Linked DNA regions of Macaca fascicularis. The protein of the gene in region 1 purifies or fractionates together with the protein of each later gene. This does not show direct contact. Links are inferred from orthologs where the notes say so. Each region holds a gene or a part of one and is shown in the gene's direction. Other genes may lie near its edges. The genes, in order: JUN, CREB5, COP1, NFE2L2, DHX9 and cyclic AMP-dependent transcription factor ATF-7.

Evidence for each region.
Region 2: the proteins of JUN (region 1) and CREB5 purify together in Homo sapiens (affinity purification with mass spectrometry; 5 studies listed by BioGRID and IntAct, counting the BioPlex papers as one, with this or other methods). This does not show direct contact. The link is inferred for Macaca fascicularis from reciprocal best matches to the Homo sapiens genes JUN and CREB5.
Region 3: the proteins of JUN (region 1) and COP1 purify together in Homo sapiens (affinity purification with western blotting; 9 studies listed by BioGRID and IntAct, counting the BioPlex papers as one, with this or other methods). This does not show direct contact. The link is inferred for Macaca fascicularis from reciprocal best matches to the Homo sapiens genes JUN and COP1.
Region 4: the proteins of JUN (region 1) and NFE2L2 purify together in Homo sapiens (affinity purification with western blotting; 4 studies listed by BioGRID and IntAct, with this or other methods). This does not show direct contact. The link is inferred for Macaca fascicularis from reciprocal best matches to the Homo sapiens genes JUN and NFE2L2.
Region 5: the proteins of JUN (region 1) and DHX9 purify together in Homo sapiens (affinity purification with mass spectrometry; 3 studies listed by BioGRID and IntAct, with this or other methods). This does not show direct contact. The link is inferred for Macaca fascicularis from reciprocal best matches to the Homo sapiens genes JUN and DHX9.
Region 6: the proteins of JUN (region 1) and cyclic AMP-dependent transcription factor ATF-7 purify together in Homo sapiens (affinity purification with mass spectrometry; 3 studies listed by BioGRID and IntAct, with this or other methods). This does not show direct contact. The link is inferred for Macaca fascicularis from reciprocal best matches to the Homo sapiens genes JUN and ATF7.

The regions. Positions count from the first base shown.
Region 1 is NC_088375.1:175,917,669-175,922,826, forward strand, and holds JUN (transcription factor Jun), read left to right. Parts: upstream 1-1,755; 5' UTR 1,756-2,733; coding exon 2,734-3,738; 3' UTR 3,739-4,494; downstream 4,495-5,158. UniProt on the Homo sapiens protein: Transcription factor that recognizes and binds to the AP-1 consensus motif 5'-TGA[GC]TCA-3'.
Region 2 is NC_088377.1:101,860,255-101,865,263, reverse strand, and holds the start of CREB5 (cyclic AMP-responsive element-binding protein 5), read left to right. Parts: upstream 1-1,654; 5' UTR 1,655-1,710; intron 1,711-5,009. UniProt on the Homo sapiens protein: Binds to the cAMP response element and activates transcription.
Region 3 is NC_088375.1:33,515,780-33,520,335, reverse strand, and holds the end of COP1 (E3 ubiquitin-protein ligase COP1), read left to right. Parts: intron 1-3,370; coding exon 3,371-3,499; 3' UTR 3,500-3,983; downstream 3,984-4,556. UniProt on the Homo sapiens protein: E3 ubiquitin-protein ligase that mediates ubiquitination and subsequent proteasomal degradation of target proteins.
Region 4 is NC_088386.1:72,799,414-72,804,575, reverse strand, and holds the start of NFE2L2 (nuclear factor erythroid 2-related factor 2), read left to right. Parts: upstream 1-1,877; 5' UTR 1,878-2,045; coding exon 2,046-2,090; exon of another isoform or gene 2,091-3,219; intron 3,220-5,162.
Region 5 is NC_088375.1:40,389,493-40,394,048, forward strand, and holds part of DHX9 (ATP-dependent RNA helicase A), read left to right. Parts: intron 1-1,636; coding exon 1,637-1,683; intron 1,684-3,168; coding exon 3,169-3,305; intron 3,306-3,615; coding exon 3,616-3,705; intron 3,706-3,791; coding exon 3,792-3,953; intron 3,954-4,095; coding exon 4,096-4,173; intron 4,174-4,556. UniProt on the Homo sapiens protein: Multifunctional ATP-dependent nucleic acid helicase that unwinds DNA and RNA in a 3' to 5' direction and that plays important roles in many processes, such as DNA replication, transcriptional activation, post-transcriptional RNA regulation, mRNA translation and RNA-mediated gene silencing.
Region 6 is NC_088385.1:60,446,354-60,451,437, reverse strand, and holds the start of cyclic AMP-dependent transcription factor ATF-7, read left to right. Parts: upstream 1-1,893; 5' UTR 1,894-1,997; intron 1,998-2,283; exon of another isoform or gene 2,284-2,329; intron 2,330-3,575; exon of another isoform or gene 3,576-3,628; intron 3,629-5,084. UniProt on the Homo sapiens protein: Stress-responsive chromatin regulator that plays a role in various biological processes including innate immunological memory, adipocyte differentiation or telomerase regulation.

The DNA.
Region 1 (5,158 bases):
GAACTTAAACTGCTGCAGGTCCAACTTCAAGCCCCAGTTCTAGACAGAGGCTTGGGAAAGAGCTGACTTCTAACCCTGTTCCCCCTCCCCTCCTCCCCTCGAAGCTTCTCACAGGAAAGTACACCTGGTCCTGCCAAATCGCACTCTTATATCCTGGCATCCTATCCAGGCTCTGCGAGGATGGAAACCGCGAGGCAGGGGAGGGAAGCGAGCTGTTTGGCCACCACCTCCCTAGTGCTGCAGGCGACCCTGTCACACTAACTCCCGGCAGCCCGGTGATGTGGACGGCACCGGCCCCACCTGCAGATGAGGGTAATGAAGCTCAGAGGAGTTCCGTGATTTGCTCGCTTCACACTGTTGCAGCCTGGCCACGAAAGAACAAGCATTCCCGACTTCGGGATTCTTTCCACCACACACTTTCGTCCCTAAGGGGTGGGGGGCGGGGGGAAGATAAAATAACAACCGCGGAAAAGGAACCACTTACATGTGTCTAGCGCTTCCTAGAGGCTACTCAGGATATGGGCCCACCACCCGGCCGGGAAGGTGGAGATTTGAAGTCCAGGTTCTACCCCGGGCTCCTGAGTTCTACTGCGTTACTTTATGCGAGTGTCCCCCGCCTTCTGAGCTTGTTTTCCCGGAAGCAACTCGGCGCGGGTGGAGAGTGTGTGCGTGTGTGTGTGTGTGTGTGCGCGCGCGCGCATGTTGTGCGTGTTGTGTTAAGCGTGTGTGTGTTGTCCGGGGGCGGGAAGGGGAGTAGACTAACACCGGGGTTCCCCGAGTTTCGGATCGCCTACACGCTTGTTCCCATCTGGACCCTGTTACCCACTAATTGCGCCCACTATAAAAACTGCCCCTCGGAGGCAAAGCTGTGATCCCCCGCGCCCTTTCCCCCACGGTCCCGGAGGATGAAGTGGGGTGCAACGGAGACTCAGCTGAGCGTCCAGTTTTGGGCAATACAAATCTCTCAGCTTCTAAGAGCAGCCAGACAACCCCGCGGACCATCGCTCCTGAACTTGACCGAGATGCAAACTTCGCAGCGTTTCTCAACGTGGGGGGCCGACTCTCGGGAGACCGCCCCCAAACTTAAGCCCCCTTAGGCTCGCCCCCAACTGGGACTTCACAGAGCCACCTTAAGGGCGGCGCTCCCGCCCCCCGGAAGTGCGGGGGGGCGGCGGACCTGGACTCTCAGCCTCCCGCCCCGCGCGGTGGCGGACGCCGGTGGATGACTTCGAGCCCCACAAGTGGGGAAACACAACCACCCCTCGCCCGCACCCTTGACCCAAAACAACTGGCCGGGTTCCCTGGCCTCCCGGGTCCCCGCATCCCCTGCATCCCAGTCCGCAGCCGTGAACTTGAGCCCCCTCCGTCAGATGTTGCGAGCGTCCGCCCGCTCGCGGCAGCCACCGTCACTAGACAGTCAAACCCCAAGACGTCAGCCCACAATGCACCGGGCGGGCCGGGAAAAACGGCCCGGGGAGGGGACCGGGGAAGAGAGGGCCGAGAGGCGTGCGGCAGGGGGGAGGGTAGGAGAAAGAAGGGCCCGACTGTAGGAGGGCAGCGGAGCATTACCTCATCCCGTGAGCCTCCGCGGGCCCAGAGAAGAATCTTCTAGGGTGGAGTCTCCATGGTGACGGGCGGGCCCGCCCCCCTGAGAGCGACGCGAGCCAATGGGAAGGCCTTGGGGTGACATCATGGGCTATTTTTAGGGGTTGACTGGTAGCAGATAAGTGTTGAGCTCGAGCTGGATAAGGGCTCAGAGTTGCACTGAGTGTGGCTGAAGCAGCGAGGCGGGAGTGGAGGTGCGCGGACTCAGGCAGGCAGACAGACACAACCAGCCAGCCAGGACGGCAGTATAGTCCGAACTGCAAATCTTATTTTCTTTTCCACCTTCTCTCCAACTGCCCAGAGCTAGCGCCTGTGGCTCCCGGGCTGGTGTTACGAGGAGTGCCCAGAGAGCCTGGTCTCCAGCCGCCCCCAGGAGGAGAGCCCTGCTGCCCAGGCGCTGTTGACAGCGGTGGCGAGCAGCGGTACCCACGCGCCCGCCGGGGGAAGTCGGCGAGCGACTGCAGCAGCAAAGAACTTTCTCGGCCCGGAGGGCCGGAGACAACTGGCCCAGAGTCCCGGAGCGAACTTTTGCAAGCCTTTCCTGCGTCTTAGGCTATTCGGCGGCGGTAAAGACCAGGAGGCGGCGGACAGCCACGCAAAAGAAGAAGGACGTGCGCTCAGCTTCGCTCGCACCGGTTGCTGAACTTGGGCGAGCGCGAGCCGCGGCTGCCGGGCGCCCCCTCCCCCTCGCAGCGGAGGAGGGGACAAGTCGTCGGAGTCTGGGCGGCCGAGACCCGCCGCTGGTCGGCCTCTGCGGGTCGGCACTGATCCGCGCCGCCGGGAGAGCCGCTGCTCTGGGAAGCGAGTTCGCCCGCGGACTCCAAGGAACGGCGGCGCCCGAAGAGCGCTCAGTGAGTGACCGCGACTTTTCAAAGCCGGGTAGCGCGCGCGCGAGTCGACAAGTAAGAGTGCGGGAGGCATCTTAATTAACCCTGCGCTCCCTGGAGCGAGCTGGTGAGGAGGGCGCAGCGGGGACGACAACCAGCGGGTGCGCGCGCTCTTAGAGAAACTTTCCCTGCCAAAGGCCCCGGGGGGCACGGGTGTCCCCCGCTTGCCAGAGCGCTGTTGCGGCCCCGAAACTTCAGCACGCAGCCCAAACTAACCTCACGTGAAGTGACGGACTGTTCTATGACTGCAAAGATGGAAACGACCTTCTATGATGATGCCCTCAACGCCTCGTTCCTCCCGTCCGAGAGCGGAGCTTATGGCTACAGTAACCCCAAGATCCTGAAACAGAGCATGACCCTGAACCTGGCCGACCCAGTGGGGAGCCTGAAGCCGCACCTCCGCGCCAAGAACTCGGACCTCCTCACCTCGCCCGACGTGGGGCTGCTCAAGCTGGCGTCGCCCGAGCTGGAGCGCCTGATAATCCAGTCCAGCAACGGGCACATCACCACCACGCCGACCCCCACCCAGTTCCTGTGCCCCAAGAACGTGACAGACGAGCAGGAGGGCTTCGCCGAGGGCTTCGTGCGCGCCCTGGCCGAACTGCACAGCCAGAACACGCTGCCCAGCGTCACGTCAGCGGCGCAGCCGGTCAGCGGGGCGGGCATGGTAGCTCCAGCGGTAGCCTCGGTGGCAGGGGGCAGCGGCAGCGGAGGCTTCAGCGCCAGCCTGCACAGCGAGCCGCCCGTCTACGCCAACCTCAGCAACTTCAACCCAGGCGCGCTGAGCAGCGGCGGCGGGGCGCCCTCCTACGGCGCGGCCGGCCTGGCCTTTCCCGCGCAACCCCAGCAGCAGCAGCCGCCGCCGCAGCCGCCGCACCACCTGCCCCAGCAGATGCCCGTGCAGCACCCGCGGCTGCAAGCCCTGAAGGAGGAGCCTCAGACAGTGCCCGAGATGCCTGGCGAGACGCCGCCCCTGTCCCCCATTGACATGGAGTCCCAGGAGCGGATCAAGGCGGAGAGGAAGCGTATGAGGAACCGCATTGCTGCCTCCAAGTGCCGAAAAAGGAAGCTGGAGAGAATCGCCCGGCTGGAGGAAAAAGTGAAAACCTTGAAAGCTCAGAACTCGGAGCTGGCGTCCACGGCCAACATGCTCAGGGAACAGGTGGCACAGCTTAAACAGAAAGTCATGAACCACGTTAACAGTGGGTGCCAACTCATGCTAACGCAGCAGTTGCAAACATTTTGAAGAGAGACTGTTGGGGGCTGAGGGGCAACGGAGAAAAAAAATAACACAGAGAGACAGACTTGAAAACTTGACAAGTTGCGACGGAGAGAAAAAAGAAGTGTCCGAGAACTAAAGCCAAGGGTATCCAAGTTGGACTGGGTTGCGTCCTGACGGCGCCCCCAGTGTGCACGAGTGGGAAGGACTTGGCGCGCCCTCCCTTGGCGTGGAGCCAGGGAGCGGCCGCCTGCGGGCTGCCCCGCTTTGCGGACGGGCTGTCCCCGCGCGGACGGAACGTTGGACTTTTCGTTAACATTGACCAAGAACTGCATGGACCTAACATTCGATCTCATTCAGTATTAAAGGGGGGAGGGGGAGGGGGTTACAAACTGCAATAGAGACTGTAGATTGCTTCTGTAGTACTCATTAAGAACACAAAGCGGGGGGGAGGGCTGGGGAGGGGCGGCAGGAGGGAGGTTTGTGAGAGCGAGGCTGAGCCTACAGATGAACTCTTTCTGGCCTGCCTTCGTTAACTGTGTATGTACATATATATATTTTTTAATTTGATGAAAGCTGATTACTGTCAATAAACAGCTTCATGCCTTTGTAAGTTATTTCTTGTTTGTTTGTTTGGGTGTCCTGCCCAGTGTTGTTTGTAAATAAGAGATTTGGAGCACTCTGAGTTTACCATTTGTAATAAAGTATATAATTTTTTTATGTTTTGTTTCTGAAAATTCCAGAAAGGATATTTAAGAAAATACAATAAACTATTGAAAAGTACTCCCCTAACCTCTTTTCTGCATCATCTATAGATACTAGCTATCTAGGTGGAGTTGAAAGAGTTAAGAATGTCAATTAAAATCACTCTCAGTGCTTCTTACTATCAAGCAGTAAAAACTGTTCTCTATTAGACTTTAGAAATAAATGTTCCTGATGTACCTGCTTCTATGGTCAGGTTATACTCTTCTTCCCCCAGCTATCTATATGGAATTGCTTACCAAAGGATAGTGCGATGTTTCAGGAGGCTGGAGGAAGGGGGGGAGTGTGTTGCAGTGGAGAGGGACAGCCCACTGGGAAGTCAAACATTTCAAAGTTTGGGATTGTATCAAGTGGCATGTGCTGTGACCATTTATAATGTTAGTAGAAATTTAACAATAGATGCTTATTCTCAAAGCAGGAATTGGTGGCAGATTTTACAAAAGATGTATCCTTCCAATTTGGAATCTTCTCTTTGACAATTCCTAGATTAAAAGATGGCCTTTGCTTATGAATATTTATAACAGCATTCTTGTCACAATAAATGTATTCAAATACCAATAACAGATCTTGAATTGCTTCCCTTTACTACTTTTTTCTTCCCAAGTAATATACTGAAGCTTTTATTTTTAGTTGCTGAGGTTAACATTGCTGCAATCTGAAGTGACTTGAAAATTAAGAAGCAAAG
Region 2 (5,009 bases), on another chromosome or scaffold:
TGGTTTCAAGGAACACTAAAGGGCAAGGGGCCATTTAAACACTTAAAAACAGAAATAACATGCTAAGCTCTTCCATTTAGTATGTCAAAACCAGCTCAGAAGTATGTGACAATCCAGGCAATGTATTACAGTTTCTAGCCAGTCCAGTCATGATTCTCTGGCAAACTGCACCGTCATGGTTGTGATGCGTTGGGATGAGAGGTACTATATAAATGTCAGATGTTACATAAATGTCAGAAATGATTATTGTTTATTAACGGGGGCTAAACTGTTTCTAAGCAAAGCTCCAACTCCCAGCCAATGTGTTCTTAGCAGAGGTTCCAACCACCAATAACCCACAAGAAGGGAATGTTTACCCCTGGCTCTATGAAGGAGCCCAGTTGGGATCTGGGCTTGAAAACAGGGATTGAGGTGGGCCCAGTGCCACCCCTTGCTCATCAAGTGATCTCAGGCCAGCCCCCTAACCTTCTGGTGTCTGCCTTAGCTCACCTGTAAAATGGGGATAATTATAATACCTGTCCTACTTATGGTACCCGGGTTGTTGTGAGAAACAAGGGAATTCACGTGGTTGCAAATGCTTTGTAAGGTGTGAGGGGCTGCGAGGTTGGCACTGGTCGTCTAGAATCGGGCTGGATTTAGTCTATGCCTTCTCTTTGAATCCTACTCAAAGGGAGAACTTCTGAAAGGAAATTCAGCAGGGGAATGGTGACAGTGATGGTGACGGCCGGATGCTGGAGACGCCAGGCTCCTCTCGCTGCAGACCAGGCGCCCGGATCCTGCAGTCTGGCCCTGGCTCTGCCGCTTCCCAGCCCGTGAGCTTGGGCCAGTTACCGAAGAGGCTCTGGAAGTGACAGCCAAGGGCCCTTTCAGCTCTGACGCCGTGTCTAAATCAGGCTCATCACTTGGCTCTAGCTGTGATTCACCTTTCGCCTTAGGAGCAACTCTCCCTACAGCTTCTCAGACGCACGAAGCAGGGGTCCCGCGAAGGGTGGGGGCTGTGTATTTCATGAGAGTGTGCACCATAAGGAAGTTATTCTCCTGGAGGAGGTGAGATGGGGGGCGGTGAAGAAGGGGTGACAAGTGAGTGCTCTGAGAAGCCAGGATGCAGGGAACACTGAAATGAGGTCATGACTGTCGCAAGCAAAAAGGAGCTGGACATCCTCATTGGGGGAGGGAGGAGCGTCCTGCATTTCTGTTTGCAAAGCCTCTTCCCACATCCTTCAGCATCCCCCTCCCCACCTCTCCCCTAACCCCCATCCCTACACCTTTCAAACCCCATCAGGCCCTCCCCGCAGAACAGCCCACGCCCGCGCCTCCTCCGTGGTCCTGTCTGAAACCATAAGGATTGTTTCCAAGCTGACTCACACCACTAATGTCAGGGAGCCGTGTCACACGGCGCTGGGCTCTGCAAGCTGTTGCTTGCGCAGTCGCCCCCGCCGCTGCCGCTCCCCGGCGGGTGCACCAGGGTCCGCGCGGGCGGGGCGGGGTCTGGGCGGGGCCGGGGTGGGGCCTGCCCCCTCGACGCGCCGGCCCCGCCCCTCGCTCTGTCCCTCCCCAGCGGACCGCAATGATTTAGAAGTTCAGGAATCCCACGTGACGTCACCGGGGGGGTGATGTAATGCACTCTAAATAGAATGTATTGTAATCTTTGCTCAGTCCAACGTGGTCCCTTCACCCGGGCTCCGCTCTTGCCTTCTCCACACTTGTTTGGTAAGTTCCTAAAAATACGGCTCGGCCACTTCTGGGGCTTTTGCATTTAGCCACTTTTGTTGCACTTGCCGCGGGAGCCATCTCGGGAGCGTACTTGTTTGCAGGGGTTGGTTCTCGGCAGCAGCCGCGAGGTTACTTGGTCCAGTGGGCAGGTCACAGGGCAAGGAGTAGGGAAGATGCGATGCATTTTTTTCTGGAGGGTGATCTGTGTTTGTAAACATTTTGGCGGACCAGAGGGAAGTCCGGCCCCGAGTGCTGGTAGACTGTGGAATTCGGCTGTGTCCTGAGGCCACCCCAGAGACCCCGCGCCGAGTGAGTGCCGGAGCGCTCGGTGGCCGCCGCGCCGCGCGCCTGGAGGGATGCTAACGTGGAGCCGGCGCCGAGTCCGCCCGGCGTGCGTGCGTGTGTGGGAGCGCGCGAGTCCCCTGACGCGGGGACCAGTTATGAATCGGGGGTGTGTGTTTGCCTCCAGAGACCTGGCAAGGTGCGGAGTCCTCCAGAAGTGCGGTCAAGCGGCAGCGGAGACGGCGAGCCAGGAACCTCCCCCCGCGTCCCCAGCTTCCCAGCGTGGCGGCGGAATCCCCGGAGAAAGTTTGCAAACTTCCAGCGGGCGCGGCGAGGACTCCGGGTCACCTAGGGGGCGGGTGGGCGCGCGCGCAGGGGGCTCGCTCTCCCCGGTGCGGAGCTGCCGCTGCCACTTCTCCCTTGGGGCTGCTGGCTGCAGTGGGTTGGCGCGCGCCCGGGGAGGGAAGGTCGCCCTTGGAGGGCGCTTGGCTTTCGCTCCAGGCACTCCGGGCTGGAGAGCGGCGAGGCTCCGTCCGCTCCCGTCCACTCCTCCGGCCGCCTCCTGCCTCCGCTGCTTTCTCGCTGGCATCATTACCTCTTCCCGGCCGCTGCCCCAAATGACAGCTCCGGCTCGAGCCTTGGCGGCGCCCAGGCAATTCCCAGGACCCGGCGGCGGAGTCTCCCCCTGCGGCAGATTCTCGGCAGAACCACTTGAACTTTTCGTGAAGTTCTTAGAGGGGCAAGATGCGAAGGAAGGAACCAAGGAGATGTTTTCTCTCAGCAGCTGCATCCACTTCTTTGCCATAGAGTTGTTTTTAAGGGACGTCTAGTAGATAAAGCCCCAGACCTTGTCCACACTCTCATCCCCGTCCCCAACTTTCCCTGGACCGGTGCCGCCCCCACTTGATGCTTGTTCAAGGCCGGGGTCTGGAGCGGGCTACTTGTATGTTTCGTTGTCAGTCTGCAGAATGTGTTTGATTTTTATTTTTCCCTCCTTCTCTGACATGTGTCAAGGAATAAAGGCTGGATACAGGTCCATTACGTCATTCTGCAGGCCAGTAAGTGTTTGATTAACGGCTTGAGCTCCTCAAGGGTTCAGGAGCTTAGAATGCTGACAAAGCAACTCTGCTGTGCATCCCCCTACCCTCCTCACAACACACTCGTGCAATCGCCCCCTCCCTAGGCATCTTTATTGCCCTCTCTTCCCAACCCCTCCCTCTCCACCACTCCCCCGTCTACACCGTTATCACTCTAGCCCCGGCCCCGCCTTTTACAGCTTTCCCTGGAGCGAGCACAGTCCCTGGAGTGTGGGTAAAAGCTTCTGGGGTCTGAGGGGACCACTGTACCTGATCAGCGCGCAATCTGCCCTTTTGTATTATTTAAGAAAGGCACCAGCAAGCCTTCTCCTCTAGAGCGAAAATGCTTAGTCCTGATAGAAAAGGCAAATCAGGAAATGTTTCCAAGCGTTATGATAATACTCTGTCCTCGTGGTGGTGACTTAGGAAGGCAATACACCCACTGCAAACAAAGTACTTCACTTTACGTAGTGCCTGCCCTTCAGCAGAAGAGGGAAGACGAAGAAGCCAGGATGCTGACAAAATCAGGTTTAGCTGAAAGGATCAAGACTAAACGTTTCATTTCCAAAGTAAGGGAATATGAGTTGTTGAACCTAAACTTCCATACAATAAATTGGTGTGTGCGTTAGTTTCTAGCTTTTAACCTTAAGTTTCTATGTTGAAAGAGGAAGTTCAATACGTAAGTCATTGAATTGAGTCAGAACCTCCGTATCTGGCAGTTGAAATAAAGACCCTGTGTATGACTTGTTGCAAGGGATCAAAGTAAAAAGAACTCTTGGCGGGGGGGTGGGGGAGGGAAATGTGCAGAAATTAAATTATAAAAGTATTAACAGAGTTTTGGATAGAGCGGGAGAGGGAATTGGAGTGGTTCCTGATTTGGAGTTGGTGAAAACTAAATAAAGAAATATTTATATTGCCAATATGAGGAATTTCTTGAAGAACACATGTTTTCTTATAATTAGATCTACTTTCTTCAAAGTGAAAGCCATGCTGTAGGGTAGACATTTGTGAAACTCCTGTCTGGGGTCTAATTGACATACTTCCCCAAGTTTGTGGCAGGATTTAGTATTTATTCACATCTAGAGATGAAATAGTGTAACCTCCACACAATATGTGTGCATCGAAAATGTTGAACTTCTTGTTTGTGATGCATAGACTTAAAGGAAAAAAAAAATGGCCCAGTCATGGGCACTGGAAAGTGTGATTAATGATCAGTGATTTAGTGATCAGTGATTAGTGGTTTTATTCAAACTGTTACCTCTGACCAGAAGCACACATCAGAGGATTAACAGGCTCTTTAGATAAATGCTCATTAGTGGAAGGGGAAAAGCAAAGATAATAGGCATGCACCCAGGGACAACTTTCGAAGAAAATCATTCCCGTCTTCAGAATAATAAGCTCTATTAACAGAAAGCCCTTTTAATTTAAAACTTGCTTTTATCTTGTAAATCAAAGTTAGATGTAAAAGTTTGTAGTGCCATTATAACCTAAATTTTCCCATATCCACTAGATGTGGATTATCTCAGTAGCGATATTTTTTTTTTTATTTAAATAAACAATTGGACCTTTAGAGCAGCTGAACCCTGACAAGTTCTTAACTCCCAGGGTTTGAAAGTGTCCCCCCTTCTAGCATGGAGATTGCAGCTTGCTAACTAGATGGCGCACTGTTATTTGGTGTTCTCTGCTGCGTAGTGCAGGAGTAGAAACTGAGCATGTAGCTGCTTGCGAGGTGTTCTTCAACATTTACAACAAAGTTGATTCTGTGTAGGGTTGGAGGCTAGACAGTTCTACAAATTTTTAGTCACATTTTCCATGTCAGTTAAATCTAGGGAGTTCAAGGCTACTGGAAAAATTAGTCTCATTACTAAAAGAAACTTAGAGAACGAGGGAGGTACCAGAGTCTAGGAGGTACCTCTGGGTTGCAGAAGTAATTGTAAA
Region 3 (4,556 bases), about 140 Mb from region 1:
AGTTAAAAATTACCTGTTGAGGTAGAACTTATTTATACTAGGCTCTAACAGACCACAGCTACAACTAGGAATTACCAGTCATCCAAAATGCAATCAAGAATCATTAAAAACTTACATTAATAACCTTGTATGTACCACTTCCAGATCTCTATGCTAGAAATAAAATACCTGGTTTTATTTTTCTGTTGCATGCAAAAAAAAAAAAAAATTTATCTTAAGCCAATATCTAGCTATCTGATAGTTTAATTCTAAATAACTTTTTTGTAATCATATTGCCTTTGGGGAGAGGGGATGTATTGAGATATGAAGCCATTATTTTTCTTTCATTAAATTTTAGTCCTAAAAGACCATTCAAACTGGCATTCAATTCATATGTTGACTTTTTTTTTTTTTAACACATAAAGTATTATCTGTTTCTGCAGGAAATAGTGTTAAGAGTTAACCCTTGGATAGCATCTAATATGACATCATATATTAATGCCATAGTAATCCTGAGGTTAACAATAAGACAGTGTTTATTCATGTTGGATAGTTATCAGATGTCTTCCTTCTTGGGTTTAGAGTGGTAATTGTACATATTTTAAACTCCTCTTGTGTGGTAATCCAACTAGATTATCTTATTTGTACTGGGCCTAATTTTCCATACTGTAAGATAATATACTATACTTTTCCTAGTTTTCCTCCCGTCAGAAGTCAGAAGTTTTAATTATGTAATTTATAATCCCTATAACTGCCAGAAGTAGACTCCCTGCTTATCCCCAAGTGAATCCTCATCTTCACCAGGTCTCTCTGCATTCCTTCTCTATATTAAAAGGTGACTAGACCCAAAATGGCAGAAAGAGATGGAGCTTTCGGCTTTAAATTTTTCGTTGTCTTGTCATTCTCATAGCAGAGGGAGCAGTTCATGATGGCTGCAGCATTTAGTGGTGGTGGCTCTTGGCAGTCGCTTTCTTGCAGACCAGAGTCTTTCCCCTCCTTGAATGGCAACTAGGTTGATCAGTGAGATTTTCAACTGCTTTTCTGGATGATGTTTACAGGAGAATTATTTCTGGGTCACCAGTGGCAGTTCTGATACCATACAACTTGTTTAAAATTCTTGCTAGAAAGAAATCCATATTGCACCACACAGTGCCTCTTTCTGCTGTTTTCTGAGGCCAGCATAGAAATGCTGTCTCTTGACCAACTCAGGGTAAGTTATTATGTTCCTAAAGGATATCCAAAACCTACTCCAACCACTTTCTACATTCAAGTCACTAAAAGAGTAAATAAATCCCAAATTTATCTTCCTTTCCCCTCACTCCAACTCCCCACCCTGAATATGGAAGTGTTGATTCTGTATACATCAAGTCCCAGAAATAGCCCATAATATTCCAAAGTTTATGTTTAAATTAATTCTAATAGTGAGTATTGTATTACCCATGTTCCTTTTTTTTTTTCTTTTGAGACAGAGCCTTGCTCTATCGCCAGGCTGGAGTGCAGTGGTGCAATCTCAGCTCACTGCAACCTCCGCCTCCTGGGTTCAAGCAATTCCCCTGCCTCAGCCTCCTGCCTAGCTGGGATTACAGGCACATGTCACCACGCCCAGCTAGTTTTTTGTATTTTAGTAGAGATGGGGTTTCACCATATTAGCCAGGATGGTCTCAGTCTTCTTTCTGACCTCGTGGTCTGCCCACCTCTGCCTCCCGAAGTGCTGGGGTTACAGGCACGAGTCACGATGCCCGGCCCCCATGTTACAATTTTTAAGAACATGTGCTGCTGATTTAAGGAAAATCCTCAGCTAGGAAAAGATCAACAATTCCCATGCCCATATGTCTTTATTTCTTCTTGATAAACCTATAATATTTGATGCTACTGACTAATTCCAAGGAGTATTCTGATTCCATTAAAAATTCTGCAGTAGTGGAGGACATTATTATTTTCTTGTATGCCATTAGTAACATGATGCACATTTTTGAAGAGCGGCTTTATTCGAAATGAAAGGGAAATTTTAAAAATGGAAATATATGAGTTTGTAAAGCACAACTTGCATATGTCAAAGAAACTAAAGTTTAACTCAGCTTAGCTGAAGTAACTTTTCTAACATACAAGCCAAGAGTTTTCTTTCTTCTTAGTATTGCTTTGTCAGGAAGCCTGAAGGATATTTAGGTAGATCCTATCCTTCATTCAAGTTAGACCACTTTATCTGTTTCTCATAGCTGTTATTTGGACTTCATTTTTCTCTCTGCCACCTGGCCTGACCTCTATGGAAGTTTAAGTCTGTTTACCTCCTCTTAGCTGCCTACCATGGAAAGCAAAAGACTCCAACACGTCAAAGTTGCAGAGCCCTGTTAGATGCCCAGTTTCCTACAGGAGGCATGTCTCCACTCTTCCTACTTTCTGAGATTCTCTCTAGTAAAGTCAGTCATGTCCATTTTTTTTCCCACCCTTCCTAATTTCCAGATAAATGTTTTTTCCTTGGCTTAGAGTAGAAAAATACTTCAACACATATATTCTCATCCAGGTAATCACCAAGTTTATTAAAAATGCATGTGCTGAATGATAGACTAATTAAAAAGAAAGATAGCCCTTTTTCCCAAATGAATATTCACATTTTCTTGTTTTCCTAATACCAAATGTCCATCCATAGAGATTTGTGCCAAGGATGTTGGCAGGTTTTACATCAATTACTGGTATTTTATGAGAGAAAATGAATTAAGAAGAAGTGTTCTGGGGAAGCAATTATTCACTTTGTTTTTCTCAACTTACTCTTTTTTTCATTCTATTTCAGTCTTGGTTTCTTTTGGCTTTTCTTCCATTGACAATCTTTTTCCCTTTTATTTTTGTTTACATTCAAAAATGTCCTACTCTGCTTCTAACTTTTTATTCTTTTAATCAAAACTTACTCCTCAAAATATGGGGTCTTAAGTTTAAAATGTAGTTAAAAACATGTTAAAATTGTTTCTTCGGCTGGGCATGGTGACTCACGCCTGTAATCCCAGCACTTTGGGAGGCCGAGGTGGGCAGATCACTTGAGGTTGGGAGTTCGAGACCAGCCTGACTGACATGGAGAAACCCCCATCTCTACTAAAAATACAAAAATTACCCAGGCTGGTAGCGCATGCCTGTAATCCCAGCTACTCAGGAGGCGGAGGCAGGAGAATCACTTGAACCCGGGAGGTGGAGGTTGCGGTGAGCTGAGATCATGCCATTGCACTCCAGCCTGGGTGACAGAGCAAGGCTCCATCTCAAAAAAAAAAAAAAAAAATTGTATCTTCATATTAGATTCAGTTGTCTTAGGAAGTGAAGAAAGAAGGATGAAGAGGAAATTATCTCTTGGATTGCTTTCCAGGAATTCCTTCTCTATACTTTAAAAGCTCTTATTCTTTTCTAGGAGTCCAATGTGCTGATTGCTGCTAACAGTCAGGGTACAATTAAGGTAAGCTATTTACTGTATCTCCATTTTAAACTCAGGACCATTTTTAGACTGAAACAGGATTATGGAAATATACCATTGTACTGAGTCTTAGCGATCATCCCAAATCATGGGTCTCTGTCTCCTGGCAAATGGCTTGATTTAAGGAAAAAGAATAGGTAGCTTGCATCTGTGGAGAAGATGATAGTGCTTGTTGAAGTTGTATGGATGCTAGATGGATTAATAGATGGTCAGTTTGAAAAACAGATAAAGACTAGTGAACATTCACTGGGGGCTAAGCACAGTTTAGCTTCTGTTATGCCAGTACAACTATCCCACAGGGCTTTCAGTAGACAGAACCCAAAACATAGCAGGAGATGCAAGATATAGCAGAAGATGCTTACACATCACCAGATTTAAACATATGTTAGTCTTATTTTATTCTCTTCCTCATGGTTCTCTTTCTTCTGTTCCCTAAAAAGTAGGTTTTTCCTCAGTTGTCAAAGGGGGGGGACAAGTTATTTTAGTGTTCAGTTGAAAATTGATAGATGTGATTCAAGGAAGCCTAGCCATAAAACAAAAAGAAAGAAAATTGATTGATGCATATATAGCACTTGTACATGATACACTGGATAAATAAATCCTGAGATAAGCAGTGAACTTTCTAAACAAAACACCATTTTGGTTGAGTACCTGTTTTTTCCACATATTCTCTGCTTATTTGGTAGAAATATTGAAAGTTTTTTAACAAAATGTGTGTGTTTCTCCTGCCACTTAGCATTAATTTTGCCATAGCTTCCTTAGACTCATCATAAATGGAGAATGACCCATCAGCCAAGGCAGCAAATCCCAGCCTAAACATTATTCTACAGAGGTGAGATGAGCAAACTTAACGCAAAAGAACTGCACTGATTTACATGGTAGTCTCCTTTTTTAGGCAGCCAGTTTCTCTATTTGAAAAGTCTCTTTAGAGAACCACTAAGAGCTTAAATGAAAACGAGGTTTGTTAACTGATCAGTGTTTGTTATATTCTGGAAGCCTCAAGCAAGATGGTAGAAGGTCTTGGAATATCCGATTTAAGTGGCTTTCTGTAGTCTCTCAGTCTCTCTCTTACTCTCATGTCAAGGCATGAATTGAAAAGGTACACCTTACTCTTCAACAGGTT
Region 4 (5,162 bases), on another chromosome or scaffold:
ACTCTTATCATATTGCTCTCCTCCCTTTGAAAATATGTACTCTGCAGGTGCCTGAAATAACATACTCTCAGCAAATTGCAGCATTGGAAAAGTGAAGGTTATTTCATTCAGTCTAAACTCAATGGAAATTTTGTGGCTTAACAAGGAAACACCAAATTATAAACTCCTTTAGAGAAGTAACCGTGTCATATGACTCTGGTATCTCCTACCGGCTAGGTTCATTGTCTACCTTCTCTGATGTCGTAATTTTAATAAGTAACTTGAATTGTTAACAATTTACTCTTGTCTTTCTCTTGGACTCAGAAATGTTATTTTATTATTATGTCTCTGCATCTTTCATGTGAGGTCCTTTGCAAACAATTTCTCCTAACTTGTTTTCATTGTGCAGATAATGTTGCAGGGTTTTCACATAACAGCTGAAAGGAATTAATAGGAATTGAAGAAGCTTGCTTCAATTACAAGTAATTAATGTAGGCTTCACTTATCTCAAGGAATATCTGAATATACAAATTTACACATAAATCCTGGGAGTGTCAAATTATGCAACAGAGAGAAAGTAAGCTCTGCAGTTTTTTGGGCGTTGATCGCTATAGTCAGGGGTGTGTGTGTGTGTGGTTTTTGAATGAAATAGTAAAACCACTGCCAGTATTATCTACTTCACCTGGTTCTGAATAATTCCAGGAAGGTAGAAACTGAAAACCAGTCTTGTTAAAGAGTTAGAAAGACTGTAAATGCGTAAGAGGAAAGAAAAAAACAAAACCAAACCATTTATCTATCCTCTTTGAACCCGTATAAGGTTCACAATATTCCTGGTTTCAAATACTTGAAGTTTTCTCTGGGCAATAATTAATGTTTAAATAATTGTTTTTAATGTAAGACATAACACATACGCATTGCAGATTTAAAGCATACTTGGAAGTAGCAAGGAAAAAGATAAAAATCATTGATTCCACAGCATTTAATATATTGGTAACTATCCTTCAATTTTTTTCTGGGCACATGTTTTTATAAAATGAGCCAATACTATACAAACGTTTTTGTAACTTTTTAAAATTTGTACTATTTTGTGAGTACGTGAAAAAGAAATTTGTAAAGATTAAAAGATCATAGCATGTTGTGGTATTACACACTGTTGAAGGGCGCCATCTGTGGCGTGGTGGCTGTGCTTTAGTGGGAAGAAGTTCTCTTGCGGTTCCCGTTTTTCTCCCAGCTCTGGGTAGGCAATACTGACCACTCTCCGACCTAAAGGGACTTCTCCGTTTGCCCTTGACGGAGACACGTGGGAGTTCAGAGGAGAGCGTTCAGGGTGACTGCGAACACGAGCTCCCGGCGCTGTCCACATCTCCCCTGGGCAGGGCCCACTGCCCCCAGCCCGGGAGGGGAGCAAGGGCGGGAGGGCAGTTGGCAGTGGCACGGCCTGGGTCCAAACCTTTAGCCCCCCACCCCGGCTGGCGCCACTCTCGGGCGGTAAAGTGAGATAAAAGCAGGGCAAGGTTCTGTAACTCCAAATCAGGGAGGCGCAGCTCCTACACCAACGCCTTTCCGGGGCTCCGGGTGTGTTTGTTCCAACTGTTTAAACTGTTTCAAAGCGTCCGAACTCCAGCGACCTTCGCAAATAACTCTTTATCTCGCGGGCTAGAGCGCTGCCCTTATTTGCGGGGGAGGGCAACTGAACGCCGGCACCGGGGCGCTAACTGTGGCCTCCTCTCGATCCCCCGCCTGCTGGGACCCCAGCTGGCAGTCCCTTCCCGCCCCCGGACCGCGAGCTTCTTGCGTCAGCCCAGGCGCGGGTGGGGGATTTTCGGAAGCTCAGCCCGCGCGGCCGGCGGGGGAAGGAAGGGCCCAGGCTCTTGCCCCGCCCTTCTGGGGCGGGAGGCGGAGCGGGGCAGGGGCCCGCCGGCGTGTCGCCGATCAGCGAGTGCCGGGGAGCCCGGAGGAGCCACCGACGCCGCTGCCGCCACCAGAGCCGCCCTGTCCGCGCCGCGCCTTGGCAGCCGGAACGGGGCCGCCGTCGGGGAGCCCCAACACACGGTCCCCAGCTCAGCATGATGGAGTTGGAGCTGCCGCCGCCGGGACTCCCGTCCCAGCAGGTGCTGCCTCGGCCCTCTGGGCCCTGCGGTGGTGCCGGGACGGGGGCGGGGGAGCTAGGGAACCGCGGCCCGGGAGGGATAGCCGCAGCCGGCTTCCTCCACGTCCGGTCAGAGCCAGGACCGCAGCGCTGGCTGGAGCCGCCGCGCTTGCGCTGGGGCAGGGTGGGGAGGGGCAGCGGGGACGCGGCCGGGTGGTCCGACCGACCACGAGCCCGAGGGCGAACGGGTGGGAAGTTGCGGGAAGGTCTGGGGACTGAGCCCGCGGGCGTGGGCAGTGGTGGGCGAATCCAGCCGCGTCCCCGGTCCCCAGAGCTGGGCTTCGGAGCCCCTAAGTTTGAGCGGCCCGGCGGGCAGCGGGGCAAGAGGGGGCGGACGCTGGCCGTCTGAGCCGGCGCGGCCCGGCCCTTCCGGGGCTGCGCGGCTCCCCCGCCTCAGAGCCGGCAAAAATGTGCCTAGTCACGGGGCCACTCTCGGGGGAACTGAGGTCGCCTTCGGGCTGGGACCCAGAGCCCCTTCGCCGCGCCCCAAGACCTCCGTGTGTGCGGGCTGCGGCGCGCTCACCCCGCTGGGCCGTCTGTGGGCGCTGCTTTGCGAAGTCATCCATCTGTCGGATCACTCTCTGGCAGCCTTGAGCTTTCTTGAAAGCTCAACCCCGGGACGAGGGAGGAGCGCCTGAAGTGCCCAGCGGGCCCAGAAGCCCCGACGTGTGGCGGCTGAGCCGGGCCCCGCGCACTTTCTCGGCCGGGGAGGGGTTCGGGCCCGGGCACCCGGAGTTGGCCTCTCGCAACGCCGCGGGAAAGTGCGGGCGAGGGCAGCGGACTCTGAGGCCGGAGTCGGCGGCACCCGGGGCGTCTAGTTCGGACGCTGTGCCCCCTGGTGGCGCGCACCGCGCGCGTGGCTTTGGCCTCTGTGACAGCGGTCTGTTGGCCGTCACAGCAGCCCTCGGTTGGCCCTTTCCTGCTTTATAGCGTGCAAACCTCGCCGCGCCAGGGCCAAGGGACAAGTTGGAGCTGTTGATCTGTTGCGCAATTGTTATTTTCCCCAGAGCGGCTTTGTCTTTGGATTTAGCGTTTCAGAATTGCAATTCCAAAATGTGTAAGACAGGAGATTCTCTTCTGTGCTGTCAAGGGTAAGAGTTGCGAGTGTAGATTAGAATTTCTATTGCTTTTAGTTTGTTAATAATTTTTTGCTTTCAGCTGTTATTTCTTCCCTGAGTACTTTATATATTTTTCCTTTTCAGTTGAGAATTTGCCTCAGTTTCTTAACATGTCCACCCTCTTTTGCAGGGGCAGAGAGTGGAACGCTTGCGTTTCAAAACACATGCTAATTTCTGTAAATTGTTATAAAAGGGAAAAGAAGTTTCAGCTCATCCTTGTAGAAACTTTAAAAGTAGATATTTATATTTCTAATTTCTTTTGTAAATGAATTTTAGGAAAAAAATTGGAATTCAAGGAAACGTGTACTTGATGTACGGTAAATTCGTTTATGCTGTTAAATGTAAAGTCTTAGGTTAATTCCAAAGATCTATTGTAAAGTTTTAAGTTATAGACAATGTATTAATTGTGCCTTTTTTTCCCCCTTTAAAGTTGTCTTGAACTTTTCCCCAATCTTGATTGGGATTATATTCTTCTGGTTCCAACTAGGGAAGAAGTAAATTGTACTTTACGATTTATTTAATAGCTGCTGTTCAAGAGTTATCTATAGGAATGCTTGTTTGACCGAAGGATATATGATAAAAATGAACTTTGGTTTTTCTAATTTCCCAAATTGTCTACAACCCTCTATTAAATTTTTCTTTCTTTGCTGTGTAATATAACATTCCATATACAAAAATGCATAAAACATATGTACTGCATTGTGTATTTTTCAATTACGTTTGATAAAAATAACTGCTTTTCTGCCTTTGTAATCAGATATCGATTTGCATATTTGAAAACAGAAAAAGAACAAGAAAATTTAGAATTGATTTCGTTTATGATTCATATTAGATTGTTGTCATCCATAAAGATTTGAACTGAGTCAAACATTTTCTTGATCTTTTGTCAAAAAAACTCTCCAGGTGTGAAGTGGTAGTAGGATGTAGTTTTTCACCTTCTGTGCAGAGGATGTGTTGATAAACAGGGCAGTAAGGAGAGCCTTAGATTCAGTATCCCCATTAGGTGGAAGGAACATCCATTACTCTTTTCAAGGGTGTCTTGGAGAGATAAAGTACTTTCCTGGATGAGGGATGAAGCTGATATTGAAATAGACCGATGAGATTATGTTTAAGTCAAACAAAAGAAAAATAGGACAGGCCTCTCATCTCCTGAATGAATGTTAAGCAAAGACCAACTTGACTTTTTAGATATGTGAAAAATCTCTTGAGAGGTTGTGGAAGCAGCATGTAGGAGGATAAATGCATAACTCACATCAGTCTTTTCCGCATTAAAAATAACTTGGGCCATTTTGAAATCTTTCTTTCTTGCCCTGGGTTGTTATAAGCAACGTTGGGGGAAAACCGACTCTGTCTTTAGGATTACCAGGAAAAGTTGAAAGCCAAATGCATCATTTTTCTTAAGATTTGTTTCTATTGAGGATAAATCATGTTTAACAAAGCTGCGTGAAAAAAAGGAACACAACAAGTACATTTTTTTTTTCTGGGAATTTCCTCTGTCCTGACTGAAGACATTAAAAGGGGGTTTTGTGTCAGTATTTCCTCCTTAACTGTTCCTTGAACGTGGGTTATCTTTTCAGTATGCAGGAAGAATTTGGCACTAAGATAATAATAGATAAGTTACTGGGCACTTCCCTGGGTCCAAACATAATTGCTTCACATGCATAATTTTACAGTAACCTCACGGGAAATACTATTATCCCTGGTTTCCAGGTTGGGAAAACCAGAGATAATAGTTAGATCAGGCATTAGGTTAGGAAAGAGGCACAGAGAAAGGCCAAGACCTGCTAAGGTGACCAAACTATTGAGTGGCCAAGGTAGCATTCAAACAGGTTTGACTCCTGGGGGCTCCTAATCACCACTTCCAGACTACCAAAACTCCTTAAACTTTAAATAGGAAGAAAAACTCACACTTCAGA
Region 5 (4,556 bases), about 140 Mb from region 1:
TATTAGAAGGGAGGGGAGGTTGTAATGGAAACCTTTTTGAATGATTCAGTTTGCTGTCCGTACTTATGAAATAAATTATCCAAATATATTAAAAAATATTTTTATCAAAAATCAAAGTGTTCTCCCTTGGATGCATCTAGCGACCCTGAAATAATTATTATTAATACAAAATTTTGTCACTGATCAAAATGATATTTAGAGCATGGTTCCCCCTTCCTCCCACTGTTTTGTTCAATCCTGAATTCTCAAATATTTCTGGTGTCAGCCTTTTAAAACCCTCAGGTTGCAAAGGAGTGATACATTTGTTGATGATTTGTTTTCTTTCATATTTTGTCTTTCTGAACGGATTGGGCTTGGTAGCACTTGGTGACTTTAAGAACAATAAGATACCTAAGTGTGCCTGAAGCTCATCGTTGCAGACATTTTTTGTTATCAGTATCTTACCATAGATTTCTGATACAAAGCAGTGACGAATTCAGGAAAAGACAATGTGGGAGGCACAGAAATTGGGGGAGCCAGGACAGCATTGCTCTTTGTATGTCCTTTTATTTAAAGGCATAACAGACAGCAACACCAGAGGTCTGTGTTCATACACACATGTGCTGCTGCTTAGGCTGAACTAAGCAATCACATGGGAAACTATTGTAAACTGATTTCTGGTGTCGCTGTTCCCCCTAGGTGGAGGAGAATGAGATTGAGTGCTGACTTTAAGCCTGGCTGAGAAACATACTGGCATCGATGTCATTAATGAAAGGGTGGATGTTGTTCCCCTGAAAGCCAGTGGCCTTTGACCCCTGAAGCCGCTGTGCCTGAAGGTCAGTTCACACGAGGTATAGGAAGGAGTCTTAACATTTATTTTTTTCTTAAGCCTCACCCAGCCTTTTATTCACACCACCAAGTCTAGGTTAGAATGTATCTGAGCAGTGAAGGGACCAGAATGCATAGTTTTCAAAGGGCAGTTTTTCCCTTACTAAAACCTAAATTCATTTTTTAGACTCTGCTAGCAGTTTTAGATGTAATGTTACAACATGTGTTTTATTCTCCAGGACCTGATTTAAATAAATGTGATAAAAATAGGCTAAGTTTTTTGTCATCCAGGGCTGCTTCCAACTGCAGGCAGATGTGAGAACTCTGCCTCAGGAGCCATTGATTATGCACAAAGTGTATGTGCATGTGTGTTTGCGTATATTAGCTTAATAGATCGCAGTCATTACTGAGTGGCCTATGCAAAGGAATCTTACAATAATTATAACTGTAATGTAAAACATTTGGGGCCTGCTTTATTTCTTGGCTCCAAGCTAAGTGGAAAATTCCTTTTCATGGAATGTGTTGTAGCTCTTGAGACTCCAGCCTTTGGAATAAGAGTAAGTAAATATAAAATCTAATACCCTAACGTTTTCCTTTCATGAACAATTGGCTCATCAACTTTGATTATAGTTGTGTTATGCCATGTTGTATATTATATGAAGTTTATATACTTCATTTGTTCTAGGGTTGGGCAGAAATAAATGTTGGTAATTTTTTTTTTTTTCTGTGATTTGCCTAAGCAGTTGGAAAGCCTGCCTGACTTGGGAGACCTGGATTTGCCAGTTTCTAACAGTGAAATTTCTAACCTTGCTTGTATATGTTGTTACAGGAGCTTTATTGCAGAAATGACCATTTATATCAAGCAGCTGGGCAGAAGTAAGTGTTACTGTTACCCAATATTCCAAGTCTTTGTATAGAGAAGGAATCTTCACATTTAAGTCTTGAAATACAGAAGCTGTATTATTGAAAGAGCACGTGATATAAGATAGCATCTAGGGTATATATTAGAATATTAGTAATTATAAAGTAGAGGCAAAGTCTCCCAGTTTGCATGTGAAAACAGACCGTGTTAGTGTAGTATTTCAAAAGTAAGACACAGTGAGATGATTAGGAATCTGCCAGCGTCAAAGAATTTTAAACTTTTTTTTTTTTTTGAAATGGAGTCTTGCTCTGTCGCCCAGGCTAGAGTGCAGTGGCGTGATCTCGGTTCACTGCAAGCTCCGCCTCCCGGGTTCACCCCATTCTCCTGCCTCAGCCTCCCCAGTAGCTGGTACTACAGGCGCCAGTCACCACGCCCAGCTAATTATTTTGTATTTTTTAGTAGGGACAGGGTTTCGTCATGTTAGCCAGATGGTCTCGATCTCCTGACCTTGTGATCCGCCCGCCTCAGCCTCCCAAAGTGCTGGGATTACAGGGGTGAGCCACTGCGCCTGGCCTTAAAACATTTTTTCATTTTTATATATAAAATGAGTTATTTTGAGTGGATGGGTAATACTAAGGGAGAGAGGATAAAGGCGGGCTAACTTATGTCAGCTCACTTATCAAGGTTAATTTGGCTAGTTAGGCAGAAAGATATCTTTGTACCCCTTTGCTTTATATTCATCTCTCCTAAAGCTGAATGATACTGGAGGAGAGGAAACTTTCTATTAATATTTTCTTTAAGGATATGAGTAACTTAGCTTTAGTTTAATGCTGAAGTCAGCAAACTATATCCCTCTGGCCAAATCCAACTTACTGCCTGTTTTTATAAGAACTGTTTTATTGTGTAACATAGCTACACTCATATTTTAGACTTCACAGGTCACACGTTGTTATTTTCGTTTTATTTTTACAAATCCTGAAAACCGTAAAGCCATTCCCAGGCCTGTGGTTTGTCAAACTCTATTGTCAGTAAGTGCTTTCACACATTAAAGGCAGAGTTGAGTAGTTGTGACAAGAGACTCTATGGCCTGCAAAGCCTAAAATATTTATTATTTGACCCTTTATGGAAAAAGTTTCCCAAATCCTGGTCTAGTTAACCACTCTGGACCCAATTACTTTTACTGGTTTATTTTTTACTCTTTGTCTTTTCAAACTATGTTTTCTTCCCCTTTTTTAATGCCCGATGATCTTAACAGTGACAACTTTGTTGAAATAGATTATTTGCTTTCATAATATTGATTTGTATGAGTCCTAGTATCAGCCCGTAACCAAAACAGTTGGTTATTTAGTTGCTAAGCTGTTGGGCAATTTCTTTTGTTTAGCTAGAACCCATGGCATACACTGTATTTGAGAGCTTCTTGTGTACGTAAACCCATAGTTTCTTGTGATGTTTCTTCACTTAGGTGATTTCTTTCTGGTAATCCTGACCTTACATTACAGGGATTTTTGCACGAGAACATGGATCAAATAAGAAACTGGCAGCACAGTCCTGTGCCCTGTCACTTGTCAGACAACTCTACCATCTTGGAGTGGTTGAAGCTTACTCTGGACTTACAAAGAAGAAGGAAGGAGAGACAGTGAGTCTTTAGATTTAATAGACTTGTGAGATAGTGTAGGATTCAATTTAGCTCTTGTTTAGTATTTGGCTAAAGAAGTTTAATTTCAAGGAATCTTACCTCAGGGAATGAAAATGGTCCTGCTAATCATCTCTGTGTCTGGCATAATGTTCATAATAGGCAGTGAGTAAATAACCATTGAAGTAGTTCTTGCACTAAAGGGAACTGACTGTTGGTTTAGGAATATTGTAGACTTAGTATTGACTGTATAGTCTTAGCCCCATTGTAGTAGATTTGAGTAGTGTTGTTATGTGTGATCCTTTTTCCGTAGGTGGAGCCTTACAAAGTAAACCTCTCTCAAGATTTAGAGCATCAACTGCAAAACATCATTCAAGAGCTAAACCTTGAGATTTTGCCCCCGGTAAGCATAAAGCTATTTAGTTCACATTTGTGTAAAACACTCAGTAGACAAGCAAGTCATATTTTTTTTTTCTTATTTTTTAATAGCCTGAAGATCCTTCTGTGCCAGTTGCACTCAACATTGGCAAATTGGCTCAATTTGAACCATCTCAGCGACAAAACCAAGTGGGTGTGGTTCCTTGGTCACCTCCACAATCCAACTGGAATCCTTGGACTAGTAGCAACATTGATGAGGGGCCTCTGGCTTTTGTGAGTGTAATATTGTTTTTGAGATGAGACTCTTGTGTTTTACTCTTGACTATACTTCATTAGTATGTCTAGGTAAAAAATGGATTTATTTTGAAGCAGAATTACATGCTTTGTTTGACCATGTTGGCTTTTTGTTTTACAGGCTACTCCAGAGCAAATAAGCATGGACCTCAAGAATGAATTGATGTACCAGTTGGAACAGGATCATGATTTGCAAGCAGTAAGTCTGAATTATTTAGACATGTAGTGCCCAGAGCTTCAGAACATTCTAGGTTTGGGTAAAAAGTCAAAGAATAATACATTTTGCCCTTTTTAGGAGGGCACATCAAAAGATATGTACCAAACTGCTTAATCCTAGTTACCCCAGAAGTTAGTTGCTGTGAGTTGAGGGCCTGGGAGATAATTTCACTTCTTAATGTAATTTAATAAAAGTGGAGAGATTCAGGGCAGTAACTCCTTTTGTTGTTGGGTTTTTTGTTGTTGTTTGTCTTTGTGTTTTCCAAATAAAAAATTAAAATGTTAGAAGGAGTGCATGTGCGATGTTCAGGGACAATGAGAAAATTTAGTTTTTGGACAACACCAAAAGATACATTCTTCAGAAGT
Region 6 (5,084 bases), on another chromosome or scaffold:
CAAATGCTTCTCTTGCCTCAGCCTCCTGAGTAGCTGGGATTACAGGTGTGAGCCACTGCGCCTGGCCAATATACAAATTTTTCCTTTTTTTTTTTTTTTTTTTTTTTGAGACAGAGTCTCACTCTGTTGCCCAGGCTGGAGTGCAGTGGCTGGATCTCAGATCACTGCAAGCTCCGCCCCCCGGGTTTATGCCATTCTCCTGCCTCAGCCTCCCGAGTAGCTGGGACTACAGGCGCCCGCCACCTTGCCCGGCTAGTCTTTTGTATTTTTTAATAGAGACGGGGTTTCACCATGTTAGCCAGGATGGTCTCAATCTCCTGACCTCGTGATCCGCCCATCTCGGCCTCCCAAAGTGCTGGGATTACAGGCTTGAGCCACCGCCCCCGGCCAACATACAATTTTTTCTTACAAATTTAAGGTATGTTTCCATCATTGTATTCTTTTAAGTAGGAATTGTTATAGGGGAGAGTAGTTTGGAAGCCAAGACACCTCTCAACTTTTCTCAATTCACTACATAAGAAAGAAAGTGTTTCTACACCTGTGTCACCTTAGATATCTAGGGAGAAATCACCTAGATTCTTCCTACCTCTCAGAGGGTGCTGTGAGGATAGATAAGATGCTAGACAGAAAGTTCAGAAAGCTAAGTAACATAAAGCTGCAAAAGGAGAGAACAGAGATTCTGTAGATAATATTTTAAGTCAACTACAATTTGTTAAATTTTAAGATGATTATTTTATTTATTTATTTATTGAGACAGGATCTCACTCTGTTGCCCAGGCTGGAGTGCAGTGGCCTGATCTGGGCTCAAGTGATCTTCCCACTTAGTCCCCTGAATAGCTACTACAAGTGCAGGCCACCATGCCCGGCTAATTTTGTATTTTTTGTAGAGCTGAGTTTTCGCCATGTTGCCCAGGCTGGTTTCATATTCCTGGATTCAGGCAATCCTTTTGCCTTGGTTTAGCAATGTTGGGATTACAGGCGTGAGTCACTGCAACCAGCCTGTTTTTTGTTTTTCTTTTTTCTTTTCCTGGTTTGTCTTGAACAAGACCTATACATTTTTGAATATAGACTTTGCATTTGATAATTCCCCTGAAATCTTCCCAAGTCATAATTCAACTCCTGGTGTGTTACTTCCTCAAAGAGGTCTTCTTTCAAACACTAGGAGTAAAGCTTCTTCCCCATTCCTAGTAACTTTCTGTCTCACTATCCTGAAGCACTTTTCACTATTTGAAATATTTGTGTTTATTGGCTTTTTAATTGTCTCCCCTTCCTCACTCAAATATAAATCCTACCTGGGTTGATAACTCCTTAACCCCACGCTTAGAACAATGCTTTGCATGTAGTATGCCCTACGTTTTGTGAAAATATTTGCTGAATAATACAGTGATTTAAAAAAAATCCTCAAGCAATTTCATGTACCTCATTTGATCATTACAACAATTTGAATAAAATGAGATTGTTAGTCCCATTGTACAGAGACTAAGAGAAGATTTTCACCCAAGGCAATAGGACTAGTAAAATGGTAGTGTTAGAATTGCTGTGCAGGTGGATTGCTTTGTCCACACATGGACTTCATTTCTAGGGCTAAGGTTATTTTACTTTGCAGTTAAGGAAGCGATGACTCTGAAAGATAGTGGTAACCACCACTACAGGCACCGGTAAAGATCTTCTCTCCTTTTTCCTTTCTTTCTCCCGCTAGATTCTGCAGCCGAACACGTGTGACTCGTGTGGACAGTACTCGCTCAGTCTCCCTCCCCAGCCCTGCCCACAGTAAGCCCAACACCTTCTTTTCCCGGAGCCCCGCCTCTCGGCCGCTTTCCAACTCAGCCCCCACGGATCTCGCCCTTCCCCCGCGGCCCCACGACTTCTCGCGAGAGTTGAGCGCGCCTGGCCGGACGGGAGGAAAGTATCCGTTCCGCCGAGGGGGGAAAAGAGGAGCTGCAGAGAGATTGTAGGACCGAGCGCGGGCAGGCGGAAGGCAACGGAGCTACCAGCCGGTAAGTCCTTTTAACATTAGCTAGCCCATGATCTGACGGGACTCTCCCTTTCAACTCTGGCCAGTCCCAGCGTTCCGGGCTGGGGTCTCCCCTCCCAGTCTGTATTGGACGGGGGCGCTGAGGCGGTGGCCGGGCCCTGTCTGAGGAAGAGGGTGGGGGCATAGGCCAAAGCCGACCAATAGGAGAGAAGGAAGCCTCGATTGGCGGCGATGAGCGCTAATGGGAGATCGCTTTTTCCTTGCCGAGTGCCGCCCCTCTTCTCTCCCTACTCCCGCCTCCTTCCTTTGGGGGGAAGGCGGGGCCAGAGGCTTGAAGTGTGGGGAGAACTTGGGGTAAGTAGCCCCGGGGGGCGCAGGGCGTGGCAAGGAGAGGGGAATTGAATCCTGAGGGAAGGGTAGTCTAGTGGAGCCTAATGGAAGGATCATGGGATGGGGTGGAATGGGAGAAAGAGGAGGGATACTAAACTAGGTTAGAAACCCAGGACTTCCCAAAGAGTGGGATTAGGAGCTTGGAATTGGAAAAGGGTAATAGGCAGGAGGTAGGATGAGTAGATGAGAACAAAGATCTTGATCTGGTGACACAACACCCCGTTGGGTTTATCAGGAAAGATAGATAGGGGTGGATTATAGGAAATGAGGGTCGTGGCATTTCGATTGAATTAATAAAAAGAACATCAGGGACATGATGTCAGAGAGAAAGTATGGATTTGGAGAAAATTAAGTGAATGAATTTAAGAGGACAGTATGGGTGAGCTGAGTCGCCATAAGGCATGGCTTCTGGAAGGATATGAGCCTTGAGAGCGATAAGAGAAGTGTTTGGGAAGGAGATGGCTGATATACACATGTCTTTTGCCTAGGTATCAGGTGGTTGGGATATTGATTTAGGGCTTCTCGTGGTTATGGCACCCAGACTGGTGACCAGCCTCCAAGATGCTGGGATGGGAGTTGAGAAGGAGAAAAATAGAACACTTTCATCGCTTCTCTGATTTTCCTTCTCCCTCTCTTCTATTTCCCAAACTCTTCCGAAACACCGAGATGTGGGCTTTGGACTTAAAGCAGTCCAAGTTGGAGCCCCATAGGGACTTATATGTTGCTCTGAATTGCTTGTTATGTTCTCTGACTAGGGTGTTTACAACCCAGGGCACCTCCTACCCAGATTCCCGCGTTGCTACTTCCCTAACTTTAAAAGTTTATTTTCTACTTAACAGAGGGTGTTTTAGTATCTCTGAGGGTCATGTCATATTAAGTACAGGTGTGTGGGGGGTGTGCACAGTTTTCTCAGCAAGCTCACATGAGTCCTGTGTTTAAAAATTTTGCAGTAGTGTAATTCTTGTAGAGATATCAGTCTTTATGGGCATTCTAAGCAGAAATGCTACAATGAAGTTTGTTTTGTTAAATGTGGCTTCCCAGTCACTCTCAAAGAGTTGTCGAATGGGTGGTTGCAGTTTTAGTTAACTTATATAATATGTTTTTAAATGGTGCAAATGAAATAGACATGTTATTTCAGGAAAGTGAAAAATGTTCAGTTTTTTCCTTTGGGTCCAGACTCAGAAACTAAAGCTATGTCATAATGTCTTAGGCCAAGGGCTGGGGAAATCAAACACAATTTGTACTACACATGGAAGTTGTAAGGTAAGTGGAGGCTCTTGCGAAATGTATCATGTCTGTAAGAAAAGAAGCTAAAGAAAAGTTTGGCAGCTCTACTAAGTAGTCTTACCAGTTCTTAATTCTGTACAGAAGAGGGTCAGGGCTTTGCCCTTTGATAGTTGTGTATCATTTAATAACGAATTGGACTAATACAGCCAATTAATAACTTCTTTGCTCTTGCGTAGATTTTGCTTTTACATTCCTTCTCTTCTCCTTTTATTTTTGAGAAGTGAAATAATGTCCGAAATATCAGGAAAGCTATTATATGAAGAGAAACCAGAGTATGTAGTTGTATTAACCTTTGGTTTTCTGCAATCAGTTGAAACTTTTCTCCCTGGCCAAGAAGTTGCCCCTATAGCACATTGAGACCAATTCATTGCTGACCCTTTAGCATTAACTACTGAGCTGGGTTCTAGTATTTCACAGTAAGAGCATTGCTATTGGACATTCAGAAAATTTCCAGTTTGCCTGGCAGCAGCACAAAAAAATACCCAGTGAGAGAAGCAGAGTCCCTTGTTTTGGTCTTCTGTCCTAGACTTGGTGATTGGCTTTGACTAGGGCACTATTAAACCCAAGATTATTTTTTCTCACTAGTGTTACCATCTAGCAGAGAGCTAGAGTGATAACACCGCTCGTCTTTCAACTTGTGGATCAAAGTTTACACCCTGTGGTAGTTTCAGTGTTGTAATTTTTAAACATGTTTGTTTACCACGGTTTTAAAATGTTAATAGCTCCACTTACTGTATCTTGTTCTCTTTCCTTTCCTCATTTCCAACCTAAAATGAAAATTGTTTTTTCAGCCAACTCTTAGACTAATTCTTTGCCTGGAGTAAAGTTGCTGGCTCTGTCTGAACACAGCTGCTCTGAAGCTCTCAGAAGTTATTGTTTTGTGCATGTCAAGACTGAGTTTTTCCTAGGCTACAGTGGGAGGGAGTTAGTATTACCGCAGCCTCCTATCCACATCTGATAAGGAGGAGCCTTCTCCTTGCAAGGAAGTTTTAGGTGGAACAGATAGAACTCCATGTAAATGTCTAATAAAACTAGCTGTCTTCTTGAGACTAGTTGGCATACTGGTATGTAATTGTCCTTTATCCCTTGATAAAAGTACTAAAGTTAAGGTACAGATGTTTCTTTGAGAAAAACAAATGCAGCATTCATTTAAAAGGAAAAAGCATTCATTTCTTTTGTTGTTGGTTTCTCAGAAAATGGTCCTATGGTTTTGGAGTTCATGAAAAAGTCTTCTGTCTCTTTAAAAATATGTCAAAGAAAATAATTTTTAAGCTTCTCTGACATTTACTCATTTTGACATGTTGCCTTCCTCTAAGAGGTTTTTTTTTAGGAGAGATCAAATAAATTCATGATATGTGAAAACATATCATAGCTGGTATCGCTGACGGTTGGTCTTTTAACTTCTGAATGCTCTAAGGAGAAAGTGTCCACT